Linked DNA regions of Callithrix jacchus. The protein of the gene in region 3 interacts with the protein of the main gene of each other region in a pairwise test. Links are inferred from orthologs where the notes say so. Each region holds a gene or a part of one and is shown on either strand. Other genes may lie near its edges.

What was found.
Region 1: the proteins of IMMT (region 3) and PFDN1 interact in a two-hybrid assay, tested with the Homo sapiens proteins (2 studies listed by BioGRID and IntAct). The link is inferred for Callithrix jacchus from reciprocal best matches to the Homo sapiens genes IMMT and PFDN1.
Region 2: the proteins of IMMT (region 3) and TRAF3IP1 interact in a two-hybrid assay, tested with the Homo sapiens proteins (2 studies listed by BioGRID and IntAct). The link is inferred for Callithrix jacchus from reciprocal best matches to the Homo sapiens genes IMMT and TRAF3IP1.

Annotation. Positions count from the first base shown.
Region 1 is NC_133503.1:38,670,442-38,675,770, forward strand, and holds part of PFDN1 (prefoldin subunit 1), read right to left. Parts: intron 4,457-5,329; coding exon 4,290-4,456; intron 1-4,289. UniProt on the Homo sapiens protein: Binds specifically to cytosolic chaperonin (c-CPN) and transfers target proteins to it. Binds to nascent polypeptide chain and promotes folding in an environment in which there are many competing pathways for nonnative proteins.
Region 2 is NC_133507.1:159,641,169-159,646,597, reverse strand, and holds the start of TRAF3IP1 (TRAF3-interacting protein 1), read right to left. Parts: upstream 3,091-5,429; 5' UTR 2,939-3,090; coding exon 2,816-2,938; intron 1-2,815.
Region 3 is NC_133515.1:26,804,067-26,809,431, reverse strand, and holds the start of IMMT (MICOS complex subunit MIC60), read right to left. Parts: upstream 3,755-5,365; 5' UTR 3,638-3,754; coding exon 3,593-3,637; intron 1-3,592. UniProt on the Homo sapiens protein: Component of the MICOS complex, a large protein complex of the mitochondrial inner membrane that plays crucial roles in the maintenance of crista junctions, inner membrane architecture, and formation of contact sites to the outer membrane.

The DNA.
Region 1 (5,329 bases), on a different chromosome or scaffold from region 3:
TAGAAATTGGTGGTAGTAGTATCAGGCTACATAACAGCCTCTCTAAAGAATATGAAGTAAGAGAACTAAAATGTGCTGGCAACATGCCAAAAGACTGGATGGAATATGGCTTTGAGCAACAAATACTCAGAGCTTACAGTATATAGAAATTCATCATCTCTTATCCTGTAGCTTGACTTTCCTTGTTTTAAACCAAAAATAGCCATGTATAAGAGGTATTTAACACTACAAAATGTGTCCATACTTATGAAGTGAAAGGTATCTGGGCCTGCAATGATTTGTTTAACTAAATACACATCCTAAAAAAAAAATCTGACTTCCATTCTGTATGAAGATTAGTAAGGCAAAATGGATAAAATTATATTGACAATATTACACATAAAATGGCCCTTATTCTCTAAGCCTTTATCATACTACCTACCCTCAAGCATAATCCTAAATGCTTGGGTTTTCTATATTTTCAGTTCTGAACATCTCTTCAACTAGCTGGTATTTAGAATTAGTCAATCTTCTCAATATATTTAATAAAGTATTAATACTGTCAGATCAAAGGACAGGATTTTGGTCAGATATAATTTTTTTGAAATTAGTCAAAATATATATTACTTTTATAATTTCATCTTATATGAATCATATATTAAAACAAAATAATACACTCACTCTTAAGTCTCTGACACTTTCTAAAATACTTTTTTTCTAAGAAACCAGAAGAAAAAACATTATTTTAGGCAAGAAAAAAGAATCAGGTTCAATTCAAATCAATACACATTTAACAGCTATTTTGTGCCAGACATTATACCATTACATTGGGAATGCAGAAACAAAGATAATACATATATATATAAATATGGTCTCACAGAGCTGACAGTCTGGTTGGGAAGACTGACCCATTTAAACACACCTACACACTCAATGTGCTTTACTAGCTGTAGGAACAAAAGCCCTGCTATCGCCAAGGAAAGAGTGAATGAGTCTGCCCCACGGGGTGGAAAAATCTTCAAAGGCAAAGTAAGATCTGAGCTATGTCTTGAAGGATGAGAATTTCACAAGGAAAAGGGGAATATTACCAGCCAAGGGCAATGTTATTCAGCCAAAGACTTGAGCAAAAGCAAAAAAGCACAAAAACATAGCATGTGTGAGGAAACCTATGTGGCAAGGGTAGGATAACAATTTCTGGTACATGTGCTACTACTCTTCTACCCTCACTGTGAAACAGACATCACTAATCAACTAAAGCATGTTTAAAACCCATATGACACCTCAAATTTTTTCTCAATACATAACACAAAACTAGTAGAAGGAGGTAGGTCCATGAGCTGAAATACACATGCTATGCCAACCCTAGAAAAAGAAAGTGGTGAGACCTGAGGCAAAGGGTAATTAAGAACAGATTATGAATAACCATGAATGCAAGGCCAGCAAGTTTACATTTTATTCTGTGGACAACAGAGGATGAACAAAGGATTTTATGAACAATATTGATGTGATTAATTTTGCCAGATGTGTGAAGAATGGATTTGGACAGACAGAATGAAGGCAGGAAGAAAGAACAGTTAAGATGCTATCACAAAAGCCTAGGCAAGAAACAATGAGACCTGAATTTCAGCCACGGGAAAATCTACTGCAGGTTCTAAAAGAAAAAGTTTGGGATTTTATTATCTGTGGTTTTAAAATAAAAATGTGGGAAAAAGTAATATTCTAATCAGAATTTCCATATAACACTCAAAAGGAAAAGAAAAAACAAATTAAGGTAAAGACTAGAATTAAAGACCTGAATCACAATGATACTCAAAATTACTTGACTATAAATTCAGAAATAGATATTTCACGTTTAGCATCAAGAAAGAGAACATCCTCATGACCAGACTAATACTCAGCAAGTCTTTTCTTCCTCTCAGAGCACTAATACTCCAGCCAAACAACAAACGCCATTCACCTTACTTGCCCCTACAACACAGGGTCAAACTCATACTCCCGGTGAGATGCAGAAAGTACAAAAATCAAATTTAAAACAGAAGTCTGAAATCATGTAGAAGCTCAACTTTATCCAAACATTTAAAACTGCATAATTCTTTTAAGAAACATAATTTATAGGAAATAAACCTTCCGGAAATAATACCATTCCACCATTAACTAATTCATATCCTAGCCTTTAAACTCTAGAATTCTTTGTATGGAAAACAGCCTATCTGTAGCACTTTGGACAATATGTACAAAAAAGCAACTCTCCTATCCATTCTGCAGAACATTTAATAAATGAAACTCCTCTAATTAAAATTAAAAATTCACTGTAGTTCAAAAGGCCAGAGTGTGAAAGAGTTTTTCTATTTTGAAAAAGGAATTCTTTAGCTATTGCAAACAAAGGCTAGTGCAGTGATGTGAAATCCAAGTACAACATGTTAACAGGCATACTAGAAAAGCTAGCATTACTGTTTTAAGACCTAAGGATATTCACATTAAGGATAAAATTATCCTGTAGTGAATGCCAACAATGTATTTCATACTACACAGACACATATTCCAGGGTTCTACTTTGTTCTCATCCCAATTCTTTTGTGTCCCAGTAACAAACTTTCAAATTGGGATCCTTATCCTCTCAAAACAAACTAAAATGAAATATATGAGCTTGGAGATAAAATTTCCTTGTGCTATATTATTCATTCTGAGAAAGCAAATCAGATGAACAATTTAACATAATCTAATTCCGAACCATAAAGATATGGATTAGTCAGTGAATGAGCAGGGTCTACTTCTCATGATGTCATTTCAAAGCCATTATTAAATTTTACACATGTTATTCTTCCTTCAAATCAATCACAAAACAAGTCATCCCAAGACTGAGGTCAAATTCCATTCTAACTAAAAGATCTCCAAACCTGAAGTAATGGTCCACTTACTAAGTAAATTCTCAAAGACCAAATTCCAGAAAAACCCTCCTCTTGTACCTCCCCCCAACTTAAAAAAAAAAATCAGTCTTCTCCTTTTAGCTCACTGTAATGGAATGTGACCTGTACTTAAGGGCTTTTCCATTCCTTTTTTTCTGCTTAAAGAATATGAAGCAGACCTAGTCTCTCTCACAAGGGTAATGTTTTTAAAAGAAAAAAAAGTGAAATGTACATAGTTAATTGTATAATAATTAGAACAAGCAAAAAGTAAAATGATTTATTAGATTTCTCAAATGTGAGTTGTCCTCCTATTAGAACACATGACACACAGAATGAGTGTATTTTTTGTTTGTTTTTTGAGACGGAGTTTCACTCTTGTTGCCCAGGCTAGAGTGCAATGGTACAATCTTGGCTCACTGCAACCTCCACCTCCCCGATTCAAGTGGTTCTCCTGCCTCAGTCTTCCAAGCAATTGGGATTACAGGTGTGCGCCACCATGCCTGGCTAATTTTTGTATTTTTGTAGAGGTGGGGTTTTACCACGTTGGCCAGGCTGGTTTCTAACTCCTAATCTCAGGGAATCCACCCACCTCAGCCTCCCAAAGTGCTGGGATTGCAGGCACGAGCCAACACACCCAGCCAGAATGAATGTATTTAAATGACAACTGAATATTTATTTTTCTTTTACAACCGTGATCAGACATCTGAAAGATTTATGATTTGTATCACTCCTAATAAATTGAGTAGGGAAGAGGAGGTTAAAACTAAACCTACTTAAATAAATCTTCACCTACAATATCAAATTACTATAACCATTTTCCACAATGAATCATATTTTTATTACTGAACTTACACACTTAAGTACCTAATCATAGACAGAAGAGGGAGGTAAGCACTTAAGAAATATACTTCAAAGTCTAACATTAAACACTTTCACTAATCTACTGAGGTTCAGCTCCTCATCTGAAAAAAAGAAGGCACTTAATTAAATAATCTATAAAGTTATTTCTACGATACTTTAATCCAGGTTTTGCTTTGCTTTGTTTCGTTTTGTACACAGCTACCTCTGTTGCCCAGGCTGGAGGGCAGTGGCACGATCTCAGCTCACTGCAACCTCCACCTCCCAGGTTCAAGCAACTCTCCTGCCTCAGCCTCCCAAGTAGCTGGAAGTACAGGCAAGTGCCAACATGCTCAGCTATTCTTTGTATCTGTGGTAGTCACAGGGTTTCACCATATTGGCCAGGCTGCCCTCAAATGATCCACCCCCCTCAGTCTCCCCAAATGCTGTGATTACAGGCTTCAGCCACTGTGCCCGGCCTAACTCAAGTTTTAGGATGAACAAATTCTATTTAATTCAGAGAAAAGCACTCCCAAAATAACTCTATTAAGGACATACTTTACTTACATTCTTCCTACACCTTCATACATGTTAGTCTCATCTACCAAAGTCATGATCTCTGTATCTGTAAGATGTGCATGCTTTTTCGTTCTGTTTAGCTGTTCAATCTGTATGTCTGCCAGCTTCACCTTCTGTTGAGTGTCGATAACTTTGGCTTGAAGCTCTGTGAAGGCCTAATAAAAACAAGTCCATGTCTTAATAGGTAAAACATTTTACAGAAAACATTTATGTCAAATCCAAATATATTAGAACAAAACATGCTAGCCAGAGACAAAGCTGTGGAATTTACCAAAGCAAACATCAATAAAAGTCAACATAATTGTAAATAATCAAGACACTATACTAGATACTCAATTTACAATCATCAGAAGATACATCAGCGTGATGCAAAACAATGCACGTTAAACAATAACCATATTAAGTGGCAAGTACTTGGTCAGGTGTAGTAACTCACACCTGTAATCCAGCACTTTAGGAGGCTGAGGCAGGCAGATCACAAGTTCAGAAGATCAAGACCATCCTGGCCAACATGGTGAAAACCCGTCTCTACTAAAATACAAAAAATTAGCTGGGCATGATGGTGCGCACCTATAGTCCCAGCTACTCGGGAGGCTGAGGCAGAGGAAATCGTTTGAACCCAGGAGGCAGAGACTGCAGTGAGCCGAGACTGCGCCACTGCACTCCAGCCGGGGTAACAGAGCAAGATTCCATCTCAAAAAAAAACAAAGGTCAAGTACTCAAGGATTAATAAAAGAAATAAATGCAACAGTCAAGGATGAAATCCAGAAATTTAAAACAAGAACCATAAAAGTAACAACTCACATTTGTATTGCACAATTAGGTTCAAAGCACTTTCTCACATTAGTTTGAAATATTACATGGGAATATGAATATAAGAATATTAATGAGGAAATATAATGATAAATCTCATTTATGCTTCTCAATAATCCCGTGAGTTAGCGTTGGCAGTTTCATCATCCACAATTTACAAATTAAGTAATTAGGCTGGGTGTGGTGGCTCACGCCTGTAATCCCAACACTTTGGG
Region 2 (5,429 bases), on a different chromosome or scaffold from region 3:
AAGAGTTGGACACACATACCAGATGGAAGAAAGTCCGCATAAGGTCCAGAGTCCTGTGCAAGAAATCCAAAGAAAGGTAGGATGGCAGGAGCCTGAGGCCAGAGAGACACTCGGGGCCTGGTGCAGAGGCCCTTGAAGCCACTCAGGGACATGAACTGAGCCCAAGGACCACGAAGAGGACATGGACAATTCTAAAGCAGGAAAGGGCCTGGCCACACAGCATTTTACAAGAATCCTTCAGGTGCAGTGGAGGGAACAGATTCCAAAAAGAAAAGGAACTTTGGCTGGGCACAGAGGCTCACACCTGTAATCCCAGCACTTTGGGAGGCCAAGGTGGGTGGATCACTTGAGGTCAGGGGTTCAAGATCAACCTGGCCAATGTGGCAAAACCCCATCTCTACTAAAAATACAAAAGTTAACACTGGGTATAGTGGCATGTGCCTGTAGTCCCAGCTACTCGGGAGGCTGAGACAGGAGAATAATTTGAACCCAGGAGGTGGAGGTTGCAGTGAGTCGAGATCGTGCCACTGCACTCCAGCCTGGGTGACAGAGCAAGACTCCCTCTAAAAAAAAAAAAAAATTGTGAGCAATAACTGTAAGTGACAAGAGACATTAATATCACAGGATCCACACTTAGCTTAATGAAAGGGATGGTTAGTTTAGCTGTAGCTTAAATACTAATATGGTGATTTGAGTATAATATTTAGGATAATAAAGCATTTTCATAAGACCCTTTCCACCTATTATCTCAAAATGCTTTCCAATATGTCAGTCATTCTAGCCTCTTTATCAAGTAGGTGACAATTCCTGTATTGATCTTTACACAAGAAGAAAAACGAACTTTGGCATAAATGAGGAAGTCTCTGGGAGTAGAGCAGACCAGTCATTCCTAATTGGGAACACACAACTAGTCCCACACCCTAGCCACCTGGCCAGGAAGGCGATCCTTTTATTTATTTATTTATTTTTTTGAGACAGGGTCTTACTCTGTCACACCGGCTGGAGTGCACTGGTGCAATCACAGCTCACTGCAGCCTCAACCTCCTGAGCTCAAGCGATTCTCCCTACTCAGCTTCCTGAGTAGCTGGGATTACAGGTGCACCACGACACTCGGCTAATTTTTGTATTCTTCGTAGAGCTGGAGTTTTGCCATGTTGGCCAGGCTGGTCTTGAACTCCTGGGCCGAAGTGATCTGCCTACTGTGGCCTTCCAGAGTGCTGGGATTGCAGGTGTGAGCCGCCCCCGGGTGGCCCTTTCCCACGAGGATGCCTCTGACCAGCTATGCAGTAGTGACTGGACCGTCACCAAGAGCTGAGCTGCACCACTACCCCACAAGGATAAGACACACTCCCTGCACCTCACTCCTAGGGCTCTGCATTTCAGTGGGGCAGGCAGGACTGGGAGAAGATTAAAGGTTTTGGCAGCCACAGCTGTGGTGGGTTGGGCTCACATTGGCTCTTACTTGTTTCCTCTGGGGCAGAGGACGTAGGCCCTGCCTACTTCACAGGAGTGACATGTGCACTGTCCTGCTCCTACAAGCCTATCCACACGGCAGGTCCCCTCCCCACACACTGCCCAGGACAAGCTGTAAGTGCTGCACCAGTTGGGAGGACATAACCAGGGCTGGCGGTGCCCTGGGATGTGGGTGGATTCAAGAGCATTTTTAAGCACTGTCTTAACACAGAGGCACAGGCTCCAGGAGAGCGTACACTGGAAGCCAAGGTAGGAGGGCAGAACCAGAAGAGCGATGTCTGTGTAAGAATACGGCACCCAACCTGTAGAAAAGAGTGAGAACTGGAGCTTAAGGCCCATCACCAGGTTAGCTCATGAGCCCCCGGAAGTCTCCAAGTCCGACCTGAATCCTCAATCCCAGAACACACCTCTGAGTTCCCATGTGCCCTTGGGTGCACCCTGCAAATGGGTGCTGCACCCCCTGCAGTGACGCTCCTGAGAGTTACCAGGGAGTTACCCGGAGCCGTGACAGGTCCCACGCAACAGGGGATGTTTGCTGTGAATTTCTATGTACCTGATCCAGGGCAGATCACCAGAGCCATGCTGACAAGCAGGGTCTCCGTCACTAAGGAGCACGCCACCCGCAAGCGGGGAAAAGCCACACAGACCACCAATCTTCAATTTAGGGCAGGCTATGCGGCTCTGTTACAGCTGTTCCTACCAAGTCTCCCCACAACCACCTCCACTAAATTCACCCACAGACATTTATCAAGCACCCAAAATAGGGTATGGAGGGCAGCTTTGAGGCAGGAGAGTTGTACAAAAAATATTATTTCCATTGTCCCAGGATTTAGGGAGCGCCTTCCATGTGTTACATGCTCCAGCGCAAGCGAGAGGGGTTCCCCAGGGTTACACAAGGAGGGAGCAGAATGGAAGATGCGCTCTAAAGAGATACACGGACAGGCAGGGAAGAAGTTAAGAATGCTCCCCGAGGGCCCGGAGCCTCCCTGTAAGCGGCCGGGAGCGGGGGAAGGGGTCAGACGTCCGCGAGGAGGGCGCCGCGGAATTGGGCCTACAGGCCGGGCTCCGGGGCAGGGGCTGCACAGAGCTCTGGCCCCGACCCCGGGACTGACTGCAGCCCCCTAACCGCACCCCGCGCCCGGCCCTGACCCGGTCCCCGACCTGCACCCCGACCCCGGCCCACACCGGGTCCACACTCGGCCCTGACCTGGTCCCCTACCTGCACCTCGAGCCCGGCCCGGGCCCTGACCCCGGCCCAGCCCCGGCCCCCGACCCTGGCTAACACCCGGCGCCCACCGGGACCCCGACCCGCCCCTGGCCCGGCGCGGCCCCCGGCGCCCACCTCGGTGATGATGTCGTGCAGGTAGCGGAACGGGGGCTTGCTCAGCAGCTTCTCCGTCAGCGGCGGCCTCCGGATCACCTTCCCCAGCGCCTCCTGCGTCCGCCTCACCACCGCCGAATTCATGGCAGCCTCCGCTGCCCACGCCCCTCAGCCGACCCGGCCGAGCCTAAGCCCGGGTCCCTGGCCGCCGCCTGCCCCGCCGCCGTCGCCCGCCCCGCAGCCACAGCCCGGTCCCGCCAGGACGCGCCGCTACGGTTTCCATCCCACAGTGCACCGGAGCCCGCCACGGCGCCTGCGCGGAAGCCGCAAGGCGTTCGGTCGCTAGGGCTGCGCGGCCTTAGCAACGGACGCGCCGCGGCGCCCCATCCGCGTCTACCGTCCTGCGCCGGCGCAAACAAGAGGGGGATTCCGCCGGAGGGGGGGGGGCGGGGGGGCGTCCGCGCGTGCGCAGACGAGGGGGGCGCGGCGGGGCGGGGGAAGGTGGTCCGGGGTCCCGCGCCTCGCCCCTCCAATGCGGAGCGACGGCCTCGCGAAGTGGGTGTTGGCTCGCCTTAGAGGCCACCGCCTGAGGACTGATGCACAGCGGGGTAAACCAAGATCTGGGCCGCCTGCTTCCCAAATCTCAAGGGCTTTCGCGGGCACTGGTTCATCGGAGGGGATGGAGCTGTTATCCCAAAACACACGGAATGGAAAATAGACTGTCCTGGCCGGGCGCGGTGGCTCACGCCTGTAATCCCAGCACTTTGGGAGGCCCAGGCGGGCGGATCAGTAGGTCAAGAGATCGAGACCATCCTGGCCAACATGGTGAAACCCCGTCTCTACTGAAAATACAAAAATCAGCCGGTCGTGGTGGTGTGTGCCTGTAACCCCAACTACTTGGAAGGCTGAGGAATCGCTTGAACCCCGGGGGCCAGAGACTGCAGTGAGCCGAAGTCGCGCCACCGCACCCCAGCCTGGGCAACACAGCAAAACTCTGTCTTTAAAAACAAACAAACAAAAAGTATAAAATTCTAACTTGACTGGGTTTTGTTTTTTTTTTTCCGTACTTTAAGGATGTTACCCCATTGACTTCTGGCTTGCATAGGTTCAGAATAAAAATCTTCCATACAGCCAGGCGTTGTGGCTCACGCCTGTAATCCCAGCACCTTGGGAAGCCGAGGTGGGCACCTGAGGTCACGAGTTCAAGACCAGCCTGACCAACATGGAGAAACCCCGTCTGTACTAAAAATATAAAATTAGCCGGGTGGGCATGGTGGCGCATGCCTGCAGTACCAGCTACTCGGGAGGCTGAGCCAGGAGAATCACTTGAACCTGGGAGACGGAGGTTGCAATCAGCCGAGATCACTATTACACTCTAGCCTGGGCAACAAGAGTGAAACTCCGTCTCAAAGAAAAAAAGTCTTCTGTAATTCTTTGTTCTGTCTATTGTGTTTCTGGCAGCCTTCAAGATTTTATTTATATTATTGGTTTACCAGAAGTCTGCACGTGGTATATCTAGATGTGGGGGTCTCTTTTGCCTAAAATTTGTATTTTATTATTTACATACAATAAAATTCATGCATTTTAAGTATGCAGGTTGGTACAGCTTGGTAATTATTTCTAATTATGTGACCACCACCACAGTCAAAATATACAACTGTCCCTGCGCCCTCAAAGACTTCTTGCTGCTTATTTGCAGCCTATCTCCTTCCCCACCCGAGTTCCAGGCAACCACTAATCTGGTTTCTGTCACTGTAATTTTGCTTCTTCTAGAATTTCATATAAATGCAATCATGTAGCACATAGTCTTTTGTATTTTATTATTTCTCTTGTAATATTTTTGCCGTTCCTTTTTGTGGCTGAATGGTATTCCGTAGTATAATTTGTTTATTCATCAGTTGATGGACATTTGGGTTGCTTTCGGTTTTTTATTTTTTGTGAACAATTCTGCTGGCCAGGCACGGTGGCTCACACCTGTAATCCCAGCACTTTGGGAGGCCAAGGTGGGTGGATCACTTGAGGTCAGGGGTTCAAGATCAGCCTGGCCAACGTAGTGAAACCCAGTCTCTACTAAAAATTCAAATATTAGCCAGTCATGGTAATGTGTGCCTGTAATTTCAGCTACTCAGGAGGCTGAGACAGAAGAAATGGTTGAATCTGGGAGGCAGAGGTTGCAGTGGGCCGGGATCACACCACTGCACTCCAACCTGGGTGACAGAGTGAGACTCCGTCTCAAAAAGAAAAAAAAAATGCTGCTATGACCATTCACTTATAAGTCTTTGTGAAAGTTTTCATTTCTATTGTATTGGAATTGTTGGGTTGTGTGGTAAGTACATGTTTAACTCTACAAATACTACCATACTGGTTTTAAAGTGGCTACATCATCATTCATTCCCACTAGCAATATGTTGAATCCCAGGTTGCTCCATATCCCTGCCAACATCTGGTATTAGCAGTCTTTTTCATTGTTGTCCTTTTTTTCTTTTTTTTTTTGTGATGGAGTCTCGCTCTATCGCCCAGGCTGGAGTACGGTGGCATGATCTAGGCTCACGGCAACCTCCGCCTCCTAAGTTCTAGTGTTTCTCCTGTTTCAGCCTCCTGAGTAACTGGAATTACAGGTACTCACCACTACGCC
Region 3 (5,365 bases):
CCAAGAAGCAGTTCTCTAGCAGACTGCCTCCAGACTGAAACTGCACCATCCACTCTCCTGGGTCTCCAGGCTGCTAGCCATTGGACTGAAATTGCAATATTGGCTCTCCTAGGTCTCCAACCTGCCAACCCACACAGCAGATTCTGGACTTGCCAGCCTCTATAACTGCATGAGTGGAGTCCTTATAACAAATCTTCCTGGGCTGGGCACTATGGCTCATTCCTGTAATCCCAGCACTTTTGGGAGGACAAGGCAGGGGGATCCCATCTCTACTAAAAGTCCAAAACACTAGCTGGGCATGGTGGTGTGAGCCTGAGTCCCTGCTACTCAGGTGAGGTGGGAGGATAGCTTAAGCCCAGTTGATCAAAACTGAAATGAATTATTATCATGCTGCTGTACTCCAGCCTGGGCAACAGAATGAGACCCTATCTCAATACACACACACACACACACACACACACACACACACACACACCCTCTTGTTTCTTTTTCTCTGGAGAACCCTAATATATAATCAGAGGTTTGAAAATCTATAGGATGTTTAAAGGGAGGTCACATCCACTGACAGCGATTAAGAAAAATTCCACTTTGGGAGGCTGAGGCAGGCATATCACTTGAGCCTAGGAGTGAAGACAAGCCTGGGAAACACAGTGAGACCCCATGTCTAAAACACTTTTTTTAATTAAAAAAAAAAAAAAGCCGGGCGCAGTGGCTCACGTCTGTAATCCCAGCACTTTGGGAAGCCGAGGTGGGCGGATCAAGATGTCAAGAGATAGAGATCATCCTGGTCAACATGGCGAAACCCTGTCTCTACTAAAAATACAAAAATTAGCTGGGCGTGGTGGCTACTTAGGAGGCTAAGGCAGGAGAATCACTTGAACCCGGGAGGCAGAGGGTGCAGTGAGCCAAGATCGCACCACCGCATTCCAGTCTGGCGAAAGAGTGAGACTCTGTCTCAAAAAAAAAAAAAAAAAAAAATTAATGAACACATTATATTCATTCATTCATTTATATATGTCATAAACATATATATGAGCATCCACTCAGAGCCAGGGACTATTGTTAGTACTGGAAATATAGCAGCAAACTATATGGACACAGTTCCATTGTGGAGTTTACGTTTTAAAGGTGACTGTGCAATGCACATTATAACATCAGGTAGTGCTAGGAGCTACAAAGCATAATAAAGTAGGATGGGATAAAAATACAGGTGATGCAAGGAAGGCAAGAGTAATCAGAATACTATTTTGGATCGGGATGCCCTCTCTGAAGGGAAGGTGACATTTGAGAAAATAACTGAAGGTAATAAGCTAAGCAAACGTGTGAGTAGAGCCCAGGGCAAAAGAAACACCTAATGAAAAGGGAGTGAGGTACATGCTGGAGATTACCAGGAGAATCTGAGTGAGGCAGTAGAAAAATGAAATATGAGAAGAGTCAGATCAAGGGCCCACAGCAGACAGTTTAAATGTTATTCTGAACGTGATGGGATGTCTCTAAAGGACATGACATCATGTTTGCCTTTTAAAAAGTCTTTTACTAACTAAATGTCTTACTGGTTTTACTACTCCCTCCTAAACAATGGACACTAGGATGAAATAGTAAAAGCAGTAAGACATTTAAGATGGGGTTGCTGGGCACAGTGGCGCACACCTATAATCCCAGCCATTTTAGGAGGCAGAAGTGGGAGGATCATTTGAGCCAAGGAGTTTGAGACCAGCCTGGGCAACACAGAAAGACCCCATCTCTACAATATTTTTTTTAAAAATTAGCCAGGGATGGTGGCACATGCCTGTGGTCCCAGCTGCTCAGGAGGCTGAGGTAAGAGGATCCCCTGCACTCGGGAGGTCAAGGCTGCAGTGAGCCATGATCATCCCACCGCACTCAAGCCTGGGTGACAAAGTGAGACTCTGTATCAAAAAAAAAAAAAAGATGATGGAGTTTAATAAAGTGGAAAGGATCTTGACAAGTGGAATATTCTGGATAAGTTGACAAAATCAAATATGATGAGGCTACAGAGTCATCTGCTTGGGGATTAAAGTTCTGAGAGTTGATAAGATAGCAATTTCAGGAAGCTTAGACATCTTGACTTAGAGCTATAAAAGGGTACATTTTTTATTACCAAGTTTTAATTAGTCTTCTTATTCCCCAAATGGGATCCCAAAAAGTTGACTGAATTAACTGAAAAGGAGGTCATTCAGGTGGGTCTGGTCTAATCACATAAGCCTTTTAAATCTGGGTCTAGAGAGGAAAGACGGAAGTAAAAGAAATTTGGAAGTCAGAGAGACAAGCTCCTGGTAGCTTGCACGAAAGCAAACATCCGTGCTACCAATGGCCTCTGGAGGCCTTGCTATGGAAGCTGTGAGCAGTGGCTGGCAAGAGGCAGCAAGAAAAGAGGGACTTCAGTCCTGTAACTGCAAGGGATTGAATTCTGCCAACAGACTGCATGAGCCTGGAAGAGGACCCTGATCTCCAAGAGAACCACAGCATGGCTAATACTTTGCAGCCCTGTGTGACCCTGAGCAGAGAACCCAGATCATCCATGCCCAGACTCCTACAGAAAGTGTAGGAGTCATTCACGGGTGTTGTTTCAAGCTGCAAAATTTGTGTTGTTACATAGCAATAGAAGACTAACACAGGTTCGTTCCACTTTCCTATGGAAGGGGCTGCTTCTCTTACCCTAGCAGCAAATAGAAAGAGAAGCGAACTTGAAAAAACAAAGCTTGACTTTTATGATCTCTAACTCACTATTCCTGGAGATTCTGTTCAATTACTGCTTGAGTCACAGTACTTGTTTTACTATCTACAACATTTTGCCAAAATATCAACTTTCTGAAAATCATGAGCAATGCAAACAGGTTTATTTTCAATTTTAGAAAGTAACTTTGGTTACTACGTAAAACTAAAAGCAACTGGGTGTTTTGGCTCCTTGAATGTCAAAGTAGTCTTAGCGCCTGGAGACACAGATCCCTGTCCTAATCTCAGAAATGAGCCACAAGGTCATGACTCCTGTCTTTCCTTACCAGGAGTTTCAGCTCCACAAAGGAATTTCATCTTTCGCTTTTGTTTGAATTACGAATAGCAGTTCAGAGGTGTTCTCAGATGCGAAAAGACAGTCCCCTCCAGATAATTATAAACTTGACCCCTAAAATGTGGACTCTCTCTAGAAGTCCAAGAACCTCCTGATCAAGGATGCAACAAGCCGCGGCTCCGCTCCTCCTGCCGGGAACTGTAGTTCTCCCGCGGCGACCTTCAGCCGTGGAAACCTATCGCGCGCCCAACCGGCGACCCAGACGACAGCAGCCAGGATTGGTCCTGGATGGGGGCAGCGCGGCGCTGATTGGATGGCACGCCCGCGAAGCCGCGCCTCCCGCTACTCTCCACACCCCACCCTGCTGTGGCAATAACCTCAAGTCATCCCACTCCGGCGAACTCTCTGGTGGCTGCCTCACTGCCAGCCCGGGCCTCTCCCAACAAGGTTGGCCCTAAGACTCGCCTCTGTCCTGGAAGCGAGGCAGCGTCCAAGACTCCCCAGTTTGCCGCTGACGGTCTTAGGTCAGCTTCCTCACACGCCCTCGGTAGCCCCAGTGCTCACCTGGGCGGCGGCGGTCACACCCGATAACTGACAGACCCGCAGCATCTCGGTGGAGCGGACGGCGGCACTAGTGAACGCTGGAGCTGCAGCGGCGGCGCGAGTAAGTGGAGTCGTGCGTGCGTATGTGCGTGCCCGCGTCCGCGCCCGGCGCACCGGAAGGGCAGCCGACTCCACTGCGCACGCGCAACCTCTTCTCCGGTACCCGACTCGGCAGCTCTTAAAGGGTGGGTTCTACCCCGGCTGCGGAAACGCCAGCTCCGGGCGATTGGTGCGAAGGAGGCTAGAAGGGCGGATTCACTTTCCGGGTCGCACTGAGGCTACAGGTCCTTATCCCCAAGCTGGGGTTACTAGGTGAACGCGGCGGGAGGGAGGGCCTTCTGAAATCCAGTCTTCAGCCGCACGTGTAAAATGGACACCTGTGACTCTTCAAAGAATTAAAGCAAGAAAGCATCTCAGCCGGCTCTGTGAGCTGGATATTTCGTAGGAAGGAGTGGATTTGGCCAAAGTTACGTAAACAATGGAATTGTCTCAGTTTGCGAGTTTGCTTCGTTTGACAGCCCTTCAGGGAGTCATCCTGATTGCCGAAGACGGTGAACGAACACTGTAGGGACCCTTGTGCGGAACGTGTCAAGTGGCACAAAAAGGATAGGAACACAGGTTCTTTGGACTCCACAGCTTCTGCTCCTTCCAGAAGCTTTCTCCCAAGTTTTTACTTTAGTAACATCATTTTGGCTGCAATTGTGGATGGGTTGGAACATGGAAGGTCAATACAGAAGCACGGTTGAAAGTATTCCATTAGGCCGGGCGCGGTGGCTCACGCCTGTAATCCCAGCACTTCGGCAGGCCGAGGCGGGAGGATCGCTTGAGCCCAGAAGTTCGAGATCAGCCTGGGCAACACAGTGAGACCTAGTCTCTATACAGAAAAACAAAAACAAACAAAATATACATATATATATGTATGTGTGTATATATATGTATGTATGTGTGTGTGTATGTATATATATATATATATATATACATTTTTTTTTTTTTTTTTGAGACGGAGTCTTGCTCTTTCCCTGGAGTACAGTGGCACAATCTCAGCTGACTACAACATCTGTCTCCCGGATTCAAGCAATTCCCCTGCCTCAGTCTCCTGAGTAGTTGGGACTACAGGCGCCTGCCCCCACACCTGGCTAACTTTTTCTGTTTCAGTAGAGATGGGGTTTCATCATGGCCAGGATGGTCTCGATATCCTGACATGATCTGCCCGCCTCGGCCTCCCAAAGTGCTGGGATTATAGGCATGAACCACCGCGCCTGGCCGAAAAAAATTTTTAAAAAGAAAGTATTCTACTGATTCTATAATCAAAACATGTTAAATATTAAAATATGGTATTAATACTTCATGTATACTCCAGTATTAATATGTTAGTATTAATACTATTACCATCTTATTGCAATATCGTGGAAACTAACTTTTCTATCTTCTATTGAGTTTGCAAAGTATTCCAGGTCTTAACTGGGTAATTTATTACAATATAGTATTCTTTCTAGAGGTAGACTGTGCTATGACTTGTAGCATGGAGAGATGGACTTGAAAATTATCTAAAATCAAATGATTATGTTTGTATATGTTCTATGATTTTTAGGGAACTATAGTAATTACATATACTCAGTTTCATATCTGTATCACTTAGCTTCCAGAGCAGTCTCCCATTTTCTTTAGTAATTTTAGCAATTGAATTGCTGCCTCTTGCCCACTGCTGTCATGCTCAGTGGTGCTGGTGACTTT